Linked DNA regions of Daphnia pulex. The protein of the gene in region 2 purifies or fractionates together with the protein of the main gene of each other region. This does not show direct contact. Links are inferred from orthologs where the notes say so. Each region holds a gene or a part of one and is shown on either strand. Other genes may lie near its edges.

The links.
Region 1: the proteins of coatomer subunit delta-like (region 2) and coatomer subunit zeta-1-like fractionate together in Homo sapiens (co-fractionation; 5 studies listed by BioGRID and IntAct, with this or other methods). This does not show direct contact. The link is inferred for Daphnia pulex from reciprocal best matches to the Homo sapiens genes ARCN1 and COPZ1.
Region 3: the proteins of coatomer subunit delta-like (region 2) and coatomer subunit alpha-like fractionate together in Homo sapiens (co-fractionation; 4 studies listed by BioGRID and IntAct, with this or other methods). This does not show direct contact. The link is inferred for Daphnia pulex from reciprocal best matches to the Homo sapiens genes ARCN1 and COPA.
Region 4: the proteins of coatomer subunit delta-like (region 2) and coatomer subunit beta'-like fractionate together in Homo sapiens (co-fractionation; 5 studies listed by BioGRID and IntAct, with this or other methods). This does not show direct contact. The link is inferred for Daphnia pulex from reciprocal best matches to the Homo sapiens genes ARCN1 and COPB2.

What each region holds. Positions count from the first base shown.
Region 1 is NC_060024.1:1,294,209-1,298,779, forward strand, and holds coatomer subunit zeta-1-like, read right to left. Parts: upstream 2,480-4,571; 5' UTR 2,290-2,479; coding exon 2,098-2,289; intron 2,009-2,097; coding exon 1,763-2,008; intron 1,698-1,762; coding exon 1,564-1,697; intron 1,489-1,563; coding exon 1,398-1,488; intron 1,199-1,397; coding exon 1,151-1,198; 3' UTR 1,042-1,150; downstream 1-1,041. Other genes in the region: fibroblast growth factor receptor 2-like, read left to right, coding at 1-183. UniProt on the Homo sapiens protein: The coatomer is a cytosolic protein complex that binds to dilysine motifs and reversibly associates with Golgi non-clathrin-coated vesicles, which further mediate biosynthetic protein transport from the ER, via the Golgi up to the trans Golgi network.
Region 2 is NC_060022.1:6,328,149-6,333,638, reverse strand, and holds coatomer subunit delta-like, read right to left. Parts: upstream 3,481-5,490; 5' UTR 3,346-3,480; coding exon 3,343-3,345; intron 2,893-3,342; coding exon 2,853-2,892; intron 2,784-2,852; coding exon 2,548-2,783; intron 2,492-2,547; coding exon 2,312-2,491; intron 2,250-2,311; coding exon 2,065-2,249; intron 1,997-2,064; coding exon 1,814-1,996; intron 1,751-1,813; coding exon 1,621-1,750; intron 1,556-1,620; coding exon 1,372-1,555; intron 1,312-1,371; coding exon 1,200-1,311; intron 1,140-1,199; coding exon 935-1,139; intron 873-934; coding exon 783-872; 3' UTR 225-782; downstream 1-224. Other genes in the region: porphobilinogen deaminase-like, read left to right, coding at 1-31; uncharacterized protein LOC124195439, read left to right, coding at 5,181-5,183. UniProt on the Homo sapiens protein: Component of the coatomer, a cytosolic protein complex that binds to dilysine motifs and reversibly associates with Golgi non-clathrin-coated vesicles, which further mediate biosynthetic protein transport from the ER, via the Golgi up to the trans Golgi network.
Region 3 is NC_060025.1:3,025,061-3,029,158, reverse strand, and holds the end of coatomer subunit alpha-like, read right to left. Parts: coding exon 3,837-4,098; intron 3,773-3,836; coding exon 3,564-3,772; intron 3,502-3,563; coding exon 3,319-3,501; intron 3,251-3,318; coding exon 2,841-3,250; intron 2,773-2,840; coding exon 2,598-2,772; intron 2,522-2,597; coding exon 2,117-2,521; intron 2,053-2,116; coding exon 1,816-2,052; 3' UTR 1,554-1,815; downstream 1-1,553. Other genes in the region: mitogen-activated protein kinase kinase kinase 7-like, read right to left, coding at 1-215, 281-367; guanine nucleotide exchange protein smcr8a-like, read left to right, coding at 692-870, 932-1,199, 1,260-1,553. UniProt on the Homo sapiens protein: The coatomer is a cytosolic protein complex that binds to dilysine motifs and reversibly associates with Golgi non-clathrin-coated vesicles, which further mediate biosynthetic protein transport from the ER, via the Golgi up to the trans Golgi network.
Region 4 is NC_060017.1:7,291,474-7,296,904, reverse strand, and holds the start of coatomer subunit beta'-like, read right to left. Parts: upstream 3,268-5,431; 5' UTR 3,103-3,267; coding exon 3,100-3,102; intron 3,029-3,099; coding exon 2,870-3,028; intron 2,808-2,869; coding exon 2,730-2,807; intron 2,662-2,729; coding exon 2,547-2,661; intron 2,486-2,546; coding exon 2,337-2,485; intron 2,268-2,336; coding exon 2,011-2,267; intron 1,949-2,010; coding exon 1,616-1,948; intron 1,553-1,615; coding exon 1,353-1,552; intron 1,286-1,352; coding exon 1,044-1,285; intron 983-1,043; coding exon 840-982; intron 764-839; coding exon 321-763; intron 262-320; coding exon 1-261. Other genes in the region: uncharacterized protein LOC124197376, read left to right, coding at 4,220-4,294, 4,373-4,592, 4,655-4,921, 4,984-5,241, 5,307-5,431. UniProt on the Homo sapiens protein: The coatomer is a cytosolic protein complex that binds to dilysine motifs and reversibly associates with Golgi non-clathrin-coated vesicles, which further mediate biosynthetic protein transport from the ER, via the Golgi up to the trans Golgi network.

The DNA.
Region 1 (4,571 bases), on a different chromosome or scaffold from region 2:
AATATGAACGCGTTGTATGTAAAACTCAACGAAGATAAGGAAAACGCAACGCCAAAGGATCATTTTGGATTGGCAAAGTTGTTGGTAGAAAAATCAGGAGCTCAATCCAAGAGGGACACGACCGCTCGATATTCATTTTTACCTATGCTGTTCTCAAAAAAAGATGCTGATTCCGATCTTTAGCCAAACACTGATCAATCTGCTATCAATAATCGATTAACTAGGCACAGAGCAATCCACTTTAATATGAAGTTATTGCGTTATCATTTGATTTCTATTTTTGTCGAATTTTACCGCCTTTTCCTTTCTTTGTGGCTATTTGAATATGATCGCGCTGTATGTTATAAACTCAACGAAGATAAGGGAAACGCAAGGCTAAAGGATCATTTTGGATTGTCGAACTTCGAAGTTGTTGGTAGAAAATTCTGGAACTCGACCAAAAAAAAACAAAAAAAAAAAAACACAACGATTCGTTACCGATCCTTTTCAATTGGGTCGATTAAATCACCGCTTATCGCTGATAGATCAACGGAGCGAAAAACTGATGCGCTCTGTCCAAGCCTGGAATTCAATATCGTTATAAAGACACGACGAGTGAAACGTTTTTTTTTTTTTTTTTTTTTTTACCTTTTAATCGACGAAAGATTGACGTTATCAATAACTTCGAAATGAACTGGCAAACTTTAGTTGGTGTAATGCTGTACTTAAGCTGTACTGTAAGAGAATAACGTTCTATCCGAATTAAAACCAAGAACATTTCACCTAAATTACAGTGCAACCTGAAAAATATTGGAAATTCACATCTCTGTTGTGATAGAAACAAATTTCTTTTGTGCTTTCATTCGTTTGTAAACCCGAAGTAAATGTCAGAAAAAGGCAAACTATTCTTTGATGAATGAAAACAATCTTTTAAAGATCGCTGTAAAATACCAAGCACACCATCAGGTTATATAATGCGTGTTACAAGTTACAAAAAATTTAATTTCTAATACGGTGGATTGATTTTAATTATTTATCTGCTATTTTGATAAAGATGGCATCAACAGAACAGATTTGTATTTTTTTTATAGAACAACTTGGAAAAGGAGAAAAATAATGATAAGGATGATTCAACGACCGGAATTTATTGTGGTTGAAATAGTTTAGATCCTTATTTCAGAAGAGACCATTTTAGCTGCTCCTTTGCCGATTGAAGCACCTAAAAAATCAGACGGAAATAATTAAAGAATTTATTGATCTTCTCCCTTAATTATAGTAATTTTTAAAATGTATATTGTTTAGTTTAGAAGTAGCTGCTGGAAAATGAAAATTTCAAACTAATTTCAATTTTAAATTTAATTAAATTGAAAAAAACCTTATTTAAATATCTGATTAAGTAGTTAAGTTATCAAACATACCTGGGCCACTGTCTGCTCCCCAATTGGAATGTCATCATTCCGAAGAGCTACTCTGTATGATATAGCAGTGGGATCTGATTCCAGAATAATCCTGCAACACAATAGTAAACTGGTAATAGTATCTTGATAAACTTGTCATGATTACATGTTTGAATGGAAACCATACCCAGAATCACATATTTCATCCAAAGCAAGCATAACCACATCAAGATTTTCCATTAGAGAACGCTTTTCCACATTCTTTCTAAGTATTTGGCTGATGGAATCATACAAGCAGTTTAAAACACTAACCAAGATCAACTAAATAAGGGGAAAAAAATTCCAATTTACTAATATTTTGTGAACAACTTGTGAGCATCTTTTACCTCATTTTCATGGCTACTTCCCATGACATAAAAATAAAGATCCACATTGCTTTTGTAGACACAAGTCATGTTTTCTAGCATAATGATTTCCGTGTTAGCTCGGTGTGTTTTGTTGAATAGGTTTTTTTCAAAAACCTTCTGTTCTTTTGCAGTGGGTAATGTGTTTGGGTCATAGTACTTTGCAAGAATACGTTTACCATCATTGTCAAGGATTGCAATTCCTTTAATTACATACAGAGAAGGTTCCTAAAGAAATTTTATAAAAATGTATCATTTTGTTGTTGGTCTGACACAGCTGATTAAAGAAAATGTAGTACTAGAAGTAGCTATATTACCAGGACATGGTTATCCATTTCTTTATACAATATGCAATACACCACAACACAAGAGCTAAGAGAAATAAGATGAACCGTTGTACAGACGGGTGAATGAAAATGTTCCGTTCGAGATGTTGATGAGTTGTTCTTACTTGACAACCGGTAGTCCTGTATGCTACGTTGGCAGTTTCTTTCGCGTAGTATCGCCATGGAGTACTTCAACTAGAGTACGATTCTTATGTCGGTAAGAAAATTATATTAACCATTAAAAAAATTAACTTATAAATTTTATAAATTTCCTATACTGATCACAAACCATTAACGAGATAAATCTATTTTTGTTTTAAAAGATACGGGAAAAAGCAAAAGGGCCAGTCGTTAGCGCCATCTAGGAACTGCTTGTTGAGTATAAAAGATAAACAAACTGGACAGTGCGGCAACGCAGGATAGCCAGGAAAGAAGAGAGGGGGAGAAGGACCTACCCAGACAAAGGAATAAGAGAGGGGGACTCAGTGCTGTTGACGATTGTGGCTAGGCGAGTAGCAATACAAAGCGTTCTTTGCAGCAAACAGGTTCACGTGTTAATTTCTATATCAACAGGTTATGGGCCCAGCTGTACGCACAGCTAACAGCTACTCTGTCTGAACAATTATTTTTTTTGTGTGTGTCCCCGGCTAACTGTTCCCAAGAAATTAGAAATTCTTTTCTGGAGTGATGGAGAAAGATGGCCGCCGCCATGTTGTATGGTGTCTGAATGGGAAAAACTACGCGTCTTGGAAATTTGGAATGAAGCTGGCGTTACAAAGTGTTGAGCTTTGGGAAGTCGTGAACGGGACTCAACGGCAACCTGCTGAAGTAAGTTTATTGATGATTTATTGTTTTCTTTATGTGTGTGATCCGTGCCTGACAACAACGCGATATGAGATGCCTATCTGTGGCGTGGTACCAACTATTAAATTGACAAACTTAGATCCCGGCGTGAGTGCTTAATCTCTGCCACTTGATTTTGTTTTTTGTGTGTTTGTGTTTGCTGGACATTTCTCTTTTTTTGTGTTTCTTTCTCAATCTGTTTGGTCACTCTGGCTAAATTCCATCATATGATGGTGGACAAGTGTGTGCTAGAGTTGCAAGCATCTAGGAGACAGCTGAGTGTTTTTCCACATCGAGATGATGTGAGGGAGATTCCACATTGAGATAATGTGAGAGGTATTCCACATCGAGATGATGTGAGGGAGATTCCACATTGAGATAATGTGAGAGGTATTCCACATCGAGATGATGTGAGGGAGATTCCACATTGAGATAATGTGAGGCTGCCATGGATATCACAAACCTAACCATCTTCTCGTTTTGTTACCACAATCAGAGACGCAATGCTGACCAGGTGATTGAAAATGCAGCTGATATAACCAACTGGAACAAGAGAAATACCACGGCAATGCAGAACATATTTGGCGCCATCAAAGAAGACCAATCAAGGATCCTGATGTCTTGTAGCACAGCCCAAGAGATGTGGATGAAATTGGAGACTGAGTATGAAGAAGATGCCGCAGACAATGCACCTCTATTGTGGACAAAGTTCTATGGATGCACATTTCGACCAAGCCAAAGTGTATCAAGCTTCCTGACTGAGTTGGAACAGATAGCATTCCGTCTGAAGAGCCTCAACATAGCTATTGATGATAATCAAATAATGGCAAAGATACTCATGTCGCTTCCTCCAGAGTTCCGTGTTTTTGCCTTTGCATGGGACAGCACGCCTGTTGCAGAGAAAACTCTCAAGAAACTGACTACTCGCCTTATAGCATTGGACAAGAGCCTGCGCAACGACGAAGAAGCAAAATCGACATCTGATACTGCCTATCTCAGTAAGCCGAACAGAGATGAATCACAGCACAAAGAGCAAGCACTTCCTGCCCAGTACGGTCAGAACAAAGGAAAAAGCCACCCTTCCAGTCAACATGCTGGTATACCGAGAACATGCTGGGAGTGCAACTCCACTACGCATGTTAGAGCTCAATGCCGTCAATACAAACGCCGGCGTGAGAGAGAAGGAGAAGAAGCGGACAGAAAAAGGAAGCGTTACGATCGACATGACAGAAGAGATGATAAACTATGTAAGCTCCCAGGAGCAACTGGCCGATGCACTCACGAAACCCCTGGCTGCTCCACGCTTCAAGTATCTCCGTGACAAGATTGGCGTTCGGGGTGTAGGGGAGGTGTAACTGAAGAGTTAAAGGAGGCTGATATTTCTTTTCTTATTATTTGTCTTGTGACACTGAACCTAGTATTTATGTCTGATTCAAATATGCTGTGTATTCTGTGCTCATGTTTATTTTTGGGGGTCCAGTTTGAGGGGAGGTGTTGAGTATAAAAGATAAACAAACTGGACAGTGCGGCAACGCAGGATAGCCAGGAAAGAAGAGAGGGGGAGAAGGACCTACCCAGACAAAGGAATAAGAGAGGGGGACTCAGTGCTGTTGACGATTGTG
Region 2 (5,490 bases):
GGTAGCTGCTAATGTACGCCCATCCAAATAGATGCGCGGATTTTTATCTTCTCTTAGTCAAACGTACATAGTAAAAGGAAGTAAAATTGTGGGTAAAGCTTTGAATACAGATGTGGTTTGTTAATTTTCAATGCTGTTTCTTTCCTTCTTCTTCTTTAAGCTAGGCTAATATTTCATAGATAAAAAAGCAAGCAAGATAACAAGGTATGAGAAATCCAGAAGACTTGGAAATAATACAGCTTTTAATTGATATACTGTATGCCATGCAACCCCAGCAGTGTACACTGTTCCAACGACAACACATGATAAGAGTTTTCTGAACTCTTAACTGATCGAAAACATAAACAAACGGAGAAAGAAAAAGAGATGAAAGAAAAGAGAAAAGAAAACACGCCCAAACATGAGTGCCGCTGCTGATTCAAAGATATATGCACGTAGAAAAAAAGGAAGAAAAAACTTTTAGATTTCAATATATCATATTTACTGGGCGGCTCAACAAACTTCAGCGCTTTAAATTGCTTTGTTATGAAAGGTGGGAGAAAAAAGGGTGAATTTGAGGAGGTTGAATCGATTCAGAGACGGGAAAAACGAACTGCACGTTGGCATTAAATATTAACCACAGATGGTAACCTAAAGTCTTTCTCATTCCTCACCCCTCTCCTCCAGTTGACAGTCAAGGAGTTCATCAGTTTGTTTGTGTTGACGCTAACGACAGGGGGTGAGGGGCAACTGGCAAAATCACGAACACTTTGCTACTTCCACGGATTTCAGAAGCAAAACATTCAAAGGATTTCGTACTTCTCCGTAAAAAAATTGGAATCGGCCGCATACTTCACCGATGTGCCGTCATCTACTAGTACGACATCATTTACCTACAACGAAAATGGGAAAATTGTAGACAAATGGAATAAATAAACACAGATTGCAACCGTACCGATATTTCAGCATAGGAGCGCTTCGAATAGAAGTTGACATTGATTGGGAAGAAGTCATTCGCATGGCCCTGACATGAAAACTCCATAGCTCCACTTTTATTGGAAGAGTCCACAACGGGGAGTTGCCACGAAAGCTGATTTTTCCTTGGTTCATACTGATACTCTCCTTCACACTCGGAAACATTCGGTGCTCCGCAACCATGACTACACGAATAAACGAAAGATGATGAGTTGCACCTAGAGCCTAATAGAAAAAAGTCTTACGGCAACGGAATGACAATGACAACGTCGTTCAGCTCTAATCGATCATCTTGAAGTTCGAATTCAATATTAACGTCACAGCCTCCACGTCCGTTTTCAGCTGGCCAGCAATTAACTATAATTTTTTTTAAATCATTAAATTTTGCCAGACAACGTAATTAAGATGATGAATTACTGTTCAGTGGAATCATATTTTCGTCTTGTGTTTGGAAACGCCACTTAAGTACACCAACATCCGTATTCAATGGGAACGGTTTTGTGGCATTCTTCAATGCAATGTGCTGCTTAGTGCGAAATAGTTCCTTGTCAACGTTAGGATGAGTTTGAATTTGAATTCCGCGACTATCTCTGTTCTCCACCTATGGATAAATCAGTCGAATTTTGAAAAAAGAAAATAAACACAATGCAAAGGAAATCATTTTACCTGTACGCGGACTCGACCGTAAGTCTCATCAGTAATAAAAAGTGTTAGTAAGCCATGAATTTCCATGTTGTGTAATCCACCGTCACGTCCACAACTGAGGCTAAGCTTTTCTTCTATTCGAAGTTGGACTCTGGATAAAAGAAATTACAGTCAAGCGTTAAATTTTAATAAGCATTGAGGTATTGTAAATTACGGTTCGGTAGCGATGGTTGATGGCGGCAGTTTGTTTGAGCTCACAGAACCACCTTGGACTACGGAAGCGGGGGACTGGAACGAGTTTACATTCTCGCCTTCTGATTTTAGTTGGTCAACAAATATTTCGGCGTCCTTCAGACGGCCCCCAAGCTTGAGGGCTTTGCTCGGGCCATTAGGTTTTCTAAGAAAAGTACCACGCTGTCAGTTAAGAACTAGTTGAGCGGAAAAATAATTAGCGAATTCACTTACACAACAGCTGGTTGATAAGTTGGCTTAGGAGGCTCAGTCGGAATCGAAGCAGCCATGGGAGATGGCCCGTAACCTCCAGAAGATGAAATGGGAGACTTGATGCCCCTTTTATTAGATTCAACTCGCTGTCTCTGCAATTCTTTGGCTTTCTCTCGCATTTTCATCTTGGCATCTCGTTCTTGTGTCTTTATGGGGAAAAAAATAGTGAAATAAGACCAAACAACTACTTAAATGAGAAAATCCAAACCTGTCTAACAGCCTGGTAGACTTTCTCTTCGTGTGAATCCATTTCGACAAATGTTCGAATTTGAGCCAAATTAACGTTTTCGCGATAGCCAAGAGCAACGATTTCGTCAAAGGCAAATATCAAATTGAAGGCATTTTCCCGGATTTCGGATTCTTCAAAAGTGCGGCAATATTCAGGTACCTACATGAATTTAATGTTAGCAAACCTACTAATGAGAAGATCTTATAAATTATTACCACACGAGCGAAAAGACGTAAAGTTTCTAAATCCTCCAAGATATTGGATGCCCTCGTTGTGATAAGTAATACATACACTTTGTCTAAAGGTTGATAAACATATCTAACCGATTCTGTTTCAACAAAAGTGTGTTGTTGTTGAGCAGCTTTTCCTGAAGACATTAGTTTAGGAAAGGCAGCTAAGAGACCTTCTATTCTGGATTTGGTCATCTCCACAAACTGTCTTGACACCAAGGCTGTAATTGAGAAAAAAAAAGTCATTTCTATTATTTTATGCATCATTTTTGTAAAACTTTGCAACACACCTTTTCCACCCTTGGTGCAAACAGCAGCTGCAATGAGAACCTGAATAATAATGAAAATTAATGAACAAGTGTCACAAGTGGAACAAAATCACAGAAATGACAACAAACATATTTTTTGTTGCGAAATAACATTGGCAACTTGGTATTGCTTCAACGATATTAAAAGCCCATGTTTTCTAGGCTACTGTTGCTAAAGATACAGCACACAATCTTTCAGAAATCAAAATGTATTGCTAGCTTTCCGAAGTAGTCTGGTATACTAGAATGCATGTCCTAACAATCAAAGTTAATCATAGTTATATGATTGAAATGTTTTAAGTTATTTTGATGATGTAAAGCACTATTGAAGAAATCATAATAAAATATCCACGTAGACGAAAGTTTAGCCAAATGTCAGATGGGCCGGTTGTGCAACCCCAATGACAACTTCAACAACGCCCATAGTAAATATTTTCATAAAATTAAAAACACTTAGGTTCGTTGATCATACCATTATTGCGCAGATTAAAGGCTCCTAAAGACTTTATCGGACCCCTTTTACCACAACTTTTCAGGGAGGATTCAAGATCCTAAGAACTGACGGCACAAGATGACGTGGATCGTCAACTGTTTTTCCAGGGTTGCCATTTTCAAATTGAAAAATAAATAAAACTGAAGCAAGGGCCCGTTTCTGGCAATGGCTGATTGATGTCTGGCGGTAAATATTTTGGTATTCGAATGCATCATAATTTTCTGCGTGTTTCACTGAGTTATTGCTTTCAAAGTAAAACAAAGGAAACAACATTATGATGGGTAAAATGTTCGATTGAGTTCGGCAAGATCGCATATTCGCATGTGACATCAGAAATTCGGCAAAACGACTCAAAACAACTAGTCAAGGCAAGTCTCGAAAATGATCTCATAACTACTCCTTTTTACTCAACTCCAGTCCACACAAAAAGGATTTTTTTTAATGTATTTTCTGTTTAATGCTACTCGAAAAATAATCCGAATAAAATGTTCAAGTTAACGAAAACGAATTTAGTTGGTTAACGAATTTAGTTGGTTAACGAATTTGCGTCTATCTGTCGAATTTGTAGCATGCAACCACTTTCTCCGTATAAGTCTGAGGCTGTCATTGTTTACTTTATGATTACCTGATTGCTGAACCCATGACGAAAACTACGGTGAACTATTGTGAAAGGATCTTAACATGATAATGGGAAAATAGTGAGAGGATTTATTCGCTGTATGTGCAGGCCAACCCATTTCAACCATTATTCTATATTTGGCGATTTTGGTAAAATGCCCACAAGAGCTAAATAACAGAAACAGAAAGTGCTTTTGCAACGAAAATGAGTCTCCGAAATCGACTAGAACTTTTTTGTTGTATCGTGTCACGTTTTTTTTCAATAAATTTTGTTTCTTATAGCTTAGAAGCGACATGAAATAAATAAAATGATTCAGATTTTCTTGTTTAAATTTCTGAAAGATTGGGCATTAATTAATAATTATAAGGTACCTGTTTTACATTAAATACAATTAGAGGATATAAAAACTACTGATTGTATTGAAAATTCTTATCTGGTTAACAGAAATGAATTAGATTTATTTGTATTCATTTATTCAACCCATCGAGTGTCCGACAGGCGACAGTTAAGATTTGCGATCACGCAATCGAGTGTCATTATGATCACCAGATCACGTCACATTCGTCCTAACGGAGTGTGGTAGAGACTTCTCCTCCCCCTGGAGGAGGAGGAGCTACGCAACTCAGATTTTTTTTTCTCTAGACACTTCTACATCTCGGAGAAAGAAAAAGTATTTTATTATCCCCTCCAAATCACGATATAGGAGCAGTAGAACGAGTTCATTTTGATCCATTCCGATACCAGAAGAATGCATTTAAAATAAATGGAAACGAATACTATTGTAAAAATCAAAATGAATTAATGCAATGCAGATTCCTTGTAATTAACGATTCAAAGCGCAACATCTCGCGACTACAGTTAACATGTATTTGAATTTCCGAATTATAAATAGCTTAACTTAATTAATTTTGAATGAAATCAAAGCCCCACAGAGTTGCCATAAGAGACCGCAGTGTTTTTCAAAATTGCTGGTCGCCCATGATTGGCCCAACGGAAAAGAGGAATGGAGAGGAAAAGACCTGGGGAAATCGGTGGATGGGATATCGGCTCGAAAAGGATCGACCTCTCTGCTTTTTTTCTGAACAGTTGATTCTGAGACTTTGAAGGTGGTGGTGCAACGACTCGTTAAATCTTTCTCGCACGCGCCGGCCATACACACGTGACTGAGCTCTGATCATTTATCCGGTCAACTTGAATCATGGTAAGTTTCTACTTTTTCATTTGAGTATTTCTTCGATGTGATTCGTGTTAAGAATCGGGCTAAATTCTTCGTTAGAATATGTAATTAAGTCGATTGCCTGTCATCAGGTCAACTCTTTTTTCCGTTACAGTTCACTATGGCCTCCATTTTAACTTGATGACGTAAAGTGTGATCAGAGTTTAACTTAAGTCAACTAATGTCAAACTGATGGCTGTACGTGTTTTTTTTTTCTTGCAAGTTTCGACTCAAGTTGTTGAAATGTGGAATGTTTTGCTTGGGAAGAGGGAGATAAGTAAATTACAGTGAT
Region 3 (4,098 bases), on a different chromosome or scaffold from region 2:
AATGAAGCTTCAGCCAATTCCATGAGAAGACAAACTGTTCTCTTTGTGGAAGCTCCATACAGCTTTACTATATTAGGATGTGATACTCTTGACAGTTGCCTTATCTCAATCATGAAGGTTTTTTGTTCAGCTGATGTGTTAATTTTTTTAACTGCCACAACTTTGGATCGCCAAACACCTCTGTATACCACCCCAAAAGTTCCTCGTCCGATTTCCTGCACGATACGCAGCCAATCTTAGTGTAAATAAAATCAGTACTTAATAATGGAATGTTACAAACCCGCAATTCTTCGACTTCACTTATATCTATTTCCAAGTCTTCTGGTATTGTTTTTAAGTCGCCAGAAAATGTTTCTGACGAATCCATGATTACAAATTATATTTACACAACTACAAATCCAAAAACAAGTTTTGTTAAACAAAATTTTTCGTATCAAACTTTTCGTCTGGTCCGATCTTCCTTCTTTACTGCCATCTAGCAACAAATTTTGTCACCACCACGAACCACCTAGCAGACGTCCCTGCTGGACTGTCACCAAGACAAAAGTTCACTCGTCTTTCAAAATCAACACAATGTTGGTTTAATGTGATTGTCATTGTACTTACTTCGTATGGGTAACTTAAATAAATATTTGCACGTTAAATTGCTTGTACAGCCTAATGAAAAGTCTTTGTAATAATCAATAATAACATGGCTAGTAGCCAAACGATTAGAGACTTTATTCTAATAAGCGAATTCTGTGAAGTCGAAGGGCCTCGTTGTGTTTTGACTATCCCAGCTGTTCTACCTCATCTGAATAACAATGAGAATTTCAATCTGGATGAATTTCTTCTTTACATAATGACAACAGATTATCAGAATTTTCCAGGGTATTTATTTTAAATTATTCAAAAATTCTTTGGGTTATTTCATACTATTTTAATCCCACAGGGAAAAGTTGGATGAAATATCTGATGTGCCTTGCATTCGGACCAACATCATTCAGAATTTCCATGCCATCCTTCATTACTTTACTTTGAAGGATTCTCAGGCAAGAGGAGGTGTGCGTCCTTCTTGCATAGCTTACATCACTCAAAATCAGACCAAGCTCTATCGTCTGAAAAATGAAATCCTCAATGTTCTCAACATGTCTGCCCAAATATTGAAAAATGCAAACATGAGGTGGATGGGGAGCTTAGGACAGGATGTTGGAGTACAGGTAGACAACAGTTACTGTACTTTGACCTCCTACAAGTATTATTTCTTTGATCCTTGACAGGAGAACAACACTATCACTAGTCTGCTTGACAAATGGAATCATCTAACTCAGCCAGAACCTGAATTAGGGGATCAAGAAAAGAAGCTTAAGCCATGGCATTTGCTCTGTCCCATAGGAATCTCAATTGTGATATCAGGTCTAATATTTGTGTATAAAATAACCTGTAGACCTCTGGAAGATCAGATCTTGGACCCAAAGGTGATTTGTTCAACTTATGATTTGTTTACCAACGTAAACCCCGATAATGTTGATTTTAAAGCTGTAATGTCTCAATTAAACAGTTTTATATTATGATCAGTTTGTATCGAGAATTCCAGAAAATAAATCAAGCAACACGGATATGTTTAGAAGATAGCTTTATAGTTTATACTTGAATTAGAACTGGTTCTCCAAAGGTGTTTGTTGTATAACTTCAATGTATCTAGTACCCCAAAATTAACAAACCAACATAGCAAATAGCGAAAGAAAAATAACAAACTGTTGATCAAAAGACTGGGGTTCGGCCAGTTGATAAAATAAACGATACTGGAATTATCAAGGGACACGAACGTTTCGTTTATCGAAATTGGGCGGTACTAATCCGCAATCCGATGCAATCCTTTCCAATTTCAGCAACGGTACAAACTTGACACAAGGATCCCTTCAATGAAGGTTGGTAAATTGAACTACAAAGAGGGCACTTTTCTTCTGGTTTTCCGCGATAGATGGGCGTGTAAGTTTTAGCGCACAAGTTGAACGGGTTGTGCTCATCGTAGTGGAGCTGGACTTCATCATTTGCACCTTTATCGCATGCCTGTGGACACAAAATAAAAAAAAATTGAGCATGAGTTACCACAATAAACTTCCAGATGAAGTACCTGAAGGATTTTGCGAGTTTGTTGCGCCACTTCGGGTTTAGGTCCAAGTTCCAGGAGGCGCCGGGCAAAGGAGGCCGCAGTGCGGAAGTTTTTGAGTTTGAAACTAAGATTCAGCGCCGTTCTCAAAGTTAAGATCTGATGGATGGGTTGCAGCTCTGAGTGGGTGAAGTAGGCTGCCATTTCACAGCTACGCTTCTGATCCTCTAAACTCTCCTTGGGCAAATCTTTACGAGCAGCTTCCATGCTAAGGCCAACAATATACTCCCGACAGATGGCAATTAATTCTTGGGCCTTGCGAACTTCTTCTTTGTTGTCGACCACCAAGAGTGGAACATTTAACAAAAGCAGGCGGAAACGATCAACAGCTTCGTTGAATTTGCCAGCAGTCGTCAGTTGATAGCAGATCTGTCAACCGAATTAAATATAATTTAACTACTTTCCCAAATTGAAAAAAAAAAAATAAAATAAAATGATGGCCTACCTGAAGCCTTTGAGCTAAATCAGCCAAGCGAACACCAAGTGCAGGTAATCCGTGAACTTTAGAGGAGGCAGCAACTTCCCTCCAGTTACGCTGTGGGTATGCGGCCAGGGAAGGTAGATTAGGCAATCCAGCAAACATAGTTCGTGATTTGGCGAAGGCTGCGGTAAACAATGGCCTAACGGAGTAGAAAGAAACGCTATGTTATAAGCAAATGACGAAGGAATTAACAGTTATTGTACGTACTTGAACGGTGCAAAATTAACGACACCAATCTGGTCATGGAGGAGACGGAAAGCAGATTCATAGGAGCCAGCTGAAGCGTGATCAATAACCAATTGCGAATGAGTGGCCCATCCTTGCAGAGGAGGCTGACCACGAGTGGGTGGCACGTAATAACCGCGGTCTTCGTCTTCACCTCCATGAGCAGCAACGCTCAAATCGGATGGTAACTCTAAATCTTCATCACCCACTTCCCAGCCACCTTCTTCATCTCCGCTCTCGGCATTGCCAGCCGATCCAACCGGTTTATCTTCATCATCAAGACCAAGATCAGCATCATCTCCCCAGCCATCAGGTTCACCGGCATCTTCCTCGGTAGCAACAGCAGATCCAGAAGCAATGGTACGAGCTGCCATGGCTCCATCGAAAAATCCCTGTTCCAGTTCATTTCAAATGTTAAAGTTCCCTCCCATTAAAATCTATCAAATGAACAATGGCGTACCTTGGAAACGGTCAACAATGGCCAGTTGGATTCCGCCTGAGCAATTGGAGGAGGCGGCTGCAAGAACACAGCAGATGGATTTACAGTAGGTACTGGTTGACCGGCTGCTTCCAGTTGTTGTTGCAGTAGTTCGGCCTCTTCATTAAGCCCATGGGTAGCGGCAGTAAGGAAAGCCAAGCTCGTCTAGACCATGTTTAAACATTACTATCATTCAAAACTTAGTTAACTGAACCGTCCCGTATTACCTGTCCGCAGTTACGAAGCACCTTGACACGTTCTTGCATATCCCCTAGCAAAAGGGCCGATTGGTATTGACCCGAAGTGTCCTTGCGAATTTCAGCAATCTTCATCATCTTTCTTAGCTTGTCGAGGTTGCCAGTAATCAGATACAAAAAGGCCAACTTGTTGAAATTCTTTGTCCTTTGATAGCACATCTCAACGACCTGGTGGTTGCCTACAGATCCAATATAAAGTAAGTTAAACATCATTAAAAAAAAACTAATAGCGAGAATCCTGACCTTGAAGAAGGGCAGCTTCGCCAAGTTTCTCCCAACAGAACTTGTCGTCTAGAGCCTTGGCGGCTTCAAGAGCTGCTTCAATGTTGCCACATTGGAGAGCCAGGGCCAGTCGAGTCTTTTCGTCTTTGACAAAGTGTAGGGCAACCTCTGGATAACCTTTTTGCTGCAAATAAGCGATGATCGATTGGCCGACAAGTTTGGCGTGTCGAACCATGTGCAACACTTCGTCGTACTTTCGGTTGACCAGGGCCAACTTGAAGCA
Region 4 (5,431 bases), on a different chromosome or scaffold from region 2:
ACTGGGCAGGATCAGCCAGGCTTTGGCTAGCTTTTGCATTGACCTGGCTAAGACTGAGCTTCCAGAGCTGGACCACGCGCGAGATTTGGCTAGGCAGATAAGTGCGAGCAAAGAAGGCAGCCTCGGGAATGCGTTGGGTGTTGATCAAGATCTCAAGGCAAGCGTTCAAATCGCCACTCAGGAAGCGCGTCAAAAAGGCAACGTTGTTCATGCCAGCTCCAATTGCGTCATCGCCTAATCGCTGCACCATTTCGGCATTACCTGAACATTCAACATATTAACTATCTGAACAAAGGACGAAACAATGTAAAATGACATACCGGATGCTGTAGCCAAAAGTAGGAGTCCTCCGAAATCCTGTGCCTTGTGAAGACACTCTTGAGCCAACTCAAACTGACATTTGGTTGTGGCCAGATCAGCAAGTTGTTTCCACTTGTGCTCACTCTGAGCCTCGCAGGCTAGTTGGTAGGCCAGTTGCAATTGACCAAGCTGAAGTGACAGTTCGAAGCGATGCTCAGGATCAGCGGAGACTGCCAATGCCTGTTCTTTGAATCCCTGCTTCTCAAGAAAATGAGCCACTCGAGTGCGTTGCTCTTTGGGAACCGACGGGAGCACTCGGTCAGCTGTTTCGAAGTCTCGTCGCATAACTGCGGTTTGATATTCAAGCACCGAGAGTTGCAGGCCGTAGGAAACTACATTTAGCTCCTTGTCGCCCAAGTAAAGACTGTTGTCCTTGGGAATGTAGCCCAACAAGTACATCACTCTGGAAACAAAAGTTACACATGGGTTTAATAGTATCGGTTTGATTATTGCAAGAATGGTGAACTTTCAAGCCATACCTGTCGAGATGGGCCACTGTGACAATTTCCCCACCGACGTAATAATTTAATCGGTTGGCACTGTTGGTGTAGATAAAGCAATCGCCCACCCAAAGTCCCGTCTTAACACTTTCTTGCACTTCAGATAACATTTCGAACGCCGTCTAAACATTCAGAAAATATTTTTTAAAAATGTACTAACACTTTGTCTTTAAATAAAATCACCTCAATTCCGGCATCGTCGGTCAAGCCTTCTTTGGTTTCAAGGCTTTTGGCCACGGCATCAGCATCATAACGCAAAACAAAATAGCTGTCTTCGGTAGAAATGCAAACTAATTCACCATTTTCCGACCAATACACACCACGTGGCTGGATCTCAATCCGACGAATCAGTGTCAGATTGTCCCATTCGTAAAAAGCTAAGCTGTTGGTAGACCGGACCCCAAGCATTGCTCCACCAAAGATTCCTGTGAATGTAAAATTTTAATTAGAATCAATATTTCATTCTGTTTTCAATTACTATGCACAATATACCTTCGGCTCCCAGCTCTGGTTTGAATTGTTTCTTTTCCTTGAAGTTCTTAAAAACTTTGACCGACGTGGCACTTTCACGAACAGCATACTCGGATGAGTCCACTGCCCACACAAACTCCAAAGCTGAACCGAAAGCTTTGTTTCGCAGAGCCATAGCTGTATAGATGATGTACTCGCCGTCACCACAAACAACGACGAATCTATTATGAAACGGAATTTTATTATTTACTGGTTTCTATGCCATGAGCAGTTAGCAAACATACCTTCCGTTTGGATTGTGAGCGACAGTTTGAGGGTAAATCTCGCATGCACCCATATCCTTGATGGCAAGAGGAAGACGTTCTCCATCCTTGATCTCCGAGTCCGGCAGCGCTTTGAGATTGGCCTGCTGGATCTCTGAATGTTTGGCCCAGATAATTTTACCGCTTTGATCCATGGACATTGCAGGTTCCTCTCGGCCCAATTTAATCATGATAGATCCTTCATCGTAGCCCAAAGCGATGTTATTAGACCCAGGCAAACAACAAATGGTCCAGACACGCTCCAGCCCATAATTGAGAGTAGTCTCCAACCGGTAGGTATTTGAATGCCATACTCTACGATTTAGAGAAAATAGTATACTTGACTAAAAAATAAATAAAGAGAATAATAAATTTACCTGACTGTTCCATCTTCAGATCCAGTAAGCAGAATTGGAAGTTCGGGGTGGAAGGCAACAGAAGAAATATTCTGTGCATGCCCTTCCAAAGTTTGGACGCAGGTTTTATTCTGGTAATCCCAAATTTTAACAAGCCGATCATCTGCACCTGAAATTAAGTAAGGTTTGTCGCCGGCGTGGTAATAGTCGACGCAATTTACTCCTTTCTCGTGGCCTTCAAGAGTGAAATTCGGTGTGTTCGAGCCCAACTGCCAGACCTGAATGAGGGACCGTAATAAATTGATTTTAAGTTAAATTTCTGGCAAAATATTTTCGTAAAAACATACCTTGACTGTTCTATCAAGAGATGCAGTAGCAAATGTATTGTTATCTTTTGGATTGATGACAATCTGCATAACATAATGGGTGTGACCCTCAAAGACTTGTTGGCATGCCCAGTTCTTTTCCCAATTCCACAACTTAATTGACATATCATCTAAAATGAAGAAAGACTGTATGAACACTGAATCTGTTAGAAAAACAGATTATTTACATACCACTGCTAGTTAATAGAAAGGGTTGAGTGGGGTGCACAGCAATGCAACGAACATAGTCTGAATGAGCTTCAAATGCTGTCACACGATCAAGTGTGTTGTAGTTGAACACTCTGACCTGGAACAATTTAAAGAGGATTAAACTATATCTAATCTGAAATGGATAAGACATCAAGAAAACTATACCTGCATATCATCAGAACCACTAACAACCCAGTTTTTCCTTGGGACAAACTTGACAGCACGAACAGGCAGGTCACAAACCTACAAAAGGGCAAGTAATGGTCAAGTCATTAAGGAAGAATTCAATGAAGTACTCATTTTACCTCAAAAGATTTGATGATTTGTTGTGATTCATGGTTCCAAATATGCACATTTCCATTATACAAGGAGGCCAACATCCATGGCTCTGTTGGATGCAAGTCGACACTTTTCACGCGATCCGAACGGGCGGTAAGCCTTCTCTTGATATCTAGTTTCAGCGGCTATAAAAAATTATAACATGAAATTAGCTCAATAATTGTTATGATTTAAACAAGTAGTATTAATGTTAAACCATTTTGTTGTGAGGATTGTTGAATAGTTCTACTACGTGGCCGGTTGATCTGTCATCACTGGGGGAGGAGTGGAGCACAAATAAACATTGCCAGATAGAATCATTAGCCAAAATACTAAATTGCTTCTTTTCTATCAGCTTTTACTAATATTGTGTGACCTCGTCGGGAGTGTAATTTTCAAAACTATTATGAGCTATTTATTCTATACATTTTAAGCGTACCCTGTAATAATTCAAAATTTGTTAAACTATTTCGACAGTGGCAACATCACATCAGTTCAAAACAAACTGCCCCGCACAATTTATCAATGGAGACAGCCACGATCATTATTCGAGTCATCCGGTCGTTTGAATATCGAAACATTCGCAATGTGGTTTTAAAGAATGTACCACTTTCCCTTACAACTGAAGAGTTGAAAACTAGAATAATTCAAGAGTTGGGTGTTGCTCCGGGACTGCCACCACCTTTTCGAAAATACGAATATGACACTTTGAAGGTTATTTGAATAACATCTTACTGCTATTTTTATGTATTTGTTGTTTTTTCTATGGTTTTCTACAGATTGAGCACCATGCACATGGAGCTAAAACAAATGATCCTGTCATTAACCACGAGAATGATGAAGGTCTCATCCTTAAAGCGGAAAGGACACTCAAGGAGAGTGATGTAAGACATGAAACTGAAATTTCATTCTTCAAATATGATGATTACATGTCATACAAAAAAAATCCAGTTTTAAAGATTGGATCAAGATAATGAATTAACTGCTGAAAATTTTTGCAATTCATTTTTCTTGATTGCCTGAAACAAGCAATCCTCAGGGAATTACTTGGGGTCTTTTGATTCTTATTTTTAATTTTGATGATACAATTGTGAATAATACACCACATTTTTCCTTCATCCATATATTCTGGAATAATATGTTTCAAATTTTCAATCATCACCTAATTGTCAGATAAACACTGTTGCAAAAGTTATAGCAGACGAAATTAAGTTGCAAAGGTGAATTCAAAACTCGAAAGCGTCGGATGCTATGTTCTTGTTGGTGTTAAGAGAGTGGCCTACTTGTTGAAATAATGGATCAATAATTTCGAAACTATGAAATGACAATCCAACACGATGGACAGATTGAAAAAATGCTGGGAAGGAATTTTACAAGAAAGAGATAATTTTTGGAGTTCCTTCTTCACTAAGGTATTTTAATGTCAAATTCTCTTCAAAGAGCTATGCAGACCTGATTCTAACTCTTGCGATTTATACATACTACTCTAGTACCAAGAAGACAAAAAAGACGTGGATTTTCGATCTTATTTGGATAATAGTTCGACAAGGATTAATACTGTGCTGGAACTAGCAGCTGAAGAGAATAAAGAGTCTGCTGGGGCTTCGAAAGGCTCGGTTAAAAAAGTGATACAGCACTTTGAAGAACAGTCTAGTGAGTCATCAGAAACATATTCTAATGAAGTGGCTACTTCATTGAATGAAAACCAAGGTAAGATAACATTTTAAGAGTACAAAACAAAATTTAATATTGTGCCATATTATTATTCACAGAACAAGAAAACTTAAAATCTGATGAGCCTTCAGTAATATCAGTGAAGAAAACTGTGCCTACATTAGTTGTGAAAGCTATTCCAGCAAAGCAAAAAATTGATGCTCAATATTTGTTAACAAAGAACTCACCTAATTCAGTCAACAAATTAATTTCCGAGTCTTCAAAGAGCTCAGATTCTACAGTGTTACAGTACTTTAAAGAACAATCTAGTGAGTCATCAGAAATATATTCTAATGAAGTAGCTACTCCATTAAATGAAGAAAAAGGTGATTCTTATTCAAGTAAAAAGAAAAAAAAATGATTTTAATGTGCTCTATATTGTTCACAGAAGAACAAAAAGTTGAAAACTTAAAACCTGTCCAGCTTCCAGCAGTATTAGTGAAGAAGAGTGTGCCCAGATTTGCTCTGGAAGTTAATCCAGAGAAAGAGAATGCAAAATGCAAATCACATTCACACAAAAAATTCATTTCTGAGGCTTTAAAGGGCTCTGATTTTAAAGAGTTACAGGACTTAGAAGAACCATCTATTAGTGAGTCGTCAGAACCATATTCTCATGAAATAGCTACTCCATTAAATGGAGATCAAGGTGAAATAACATTTATTGAATATTTTTAACAATTTTTATCTTATTGTGCTGTATATTGTTCACAGAAGAAACAAAATTTGAAATTCTGAAACCTGTCGAACTTCCAGTAGTATTGAAGAAGATGAGTGTGCCTACATTTGTTCTGGAAGTTGATTCAAAGGAAGAGATGGCAAAATCCTTGTTATCAAGG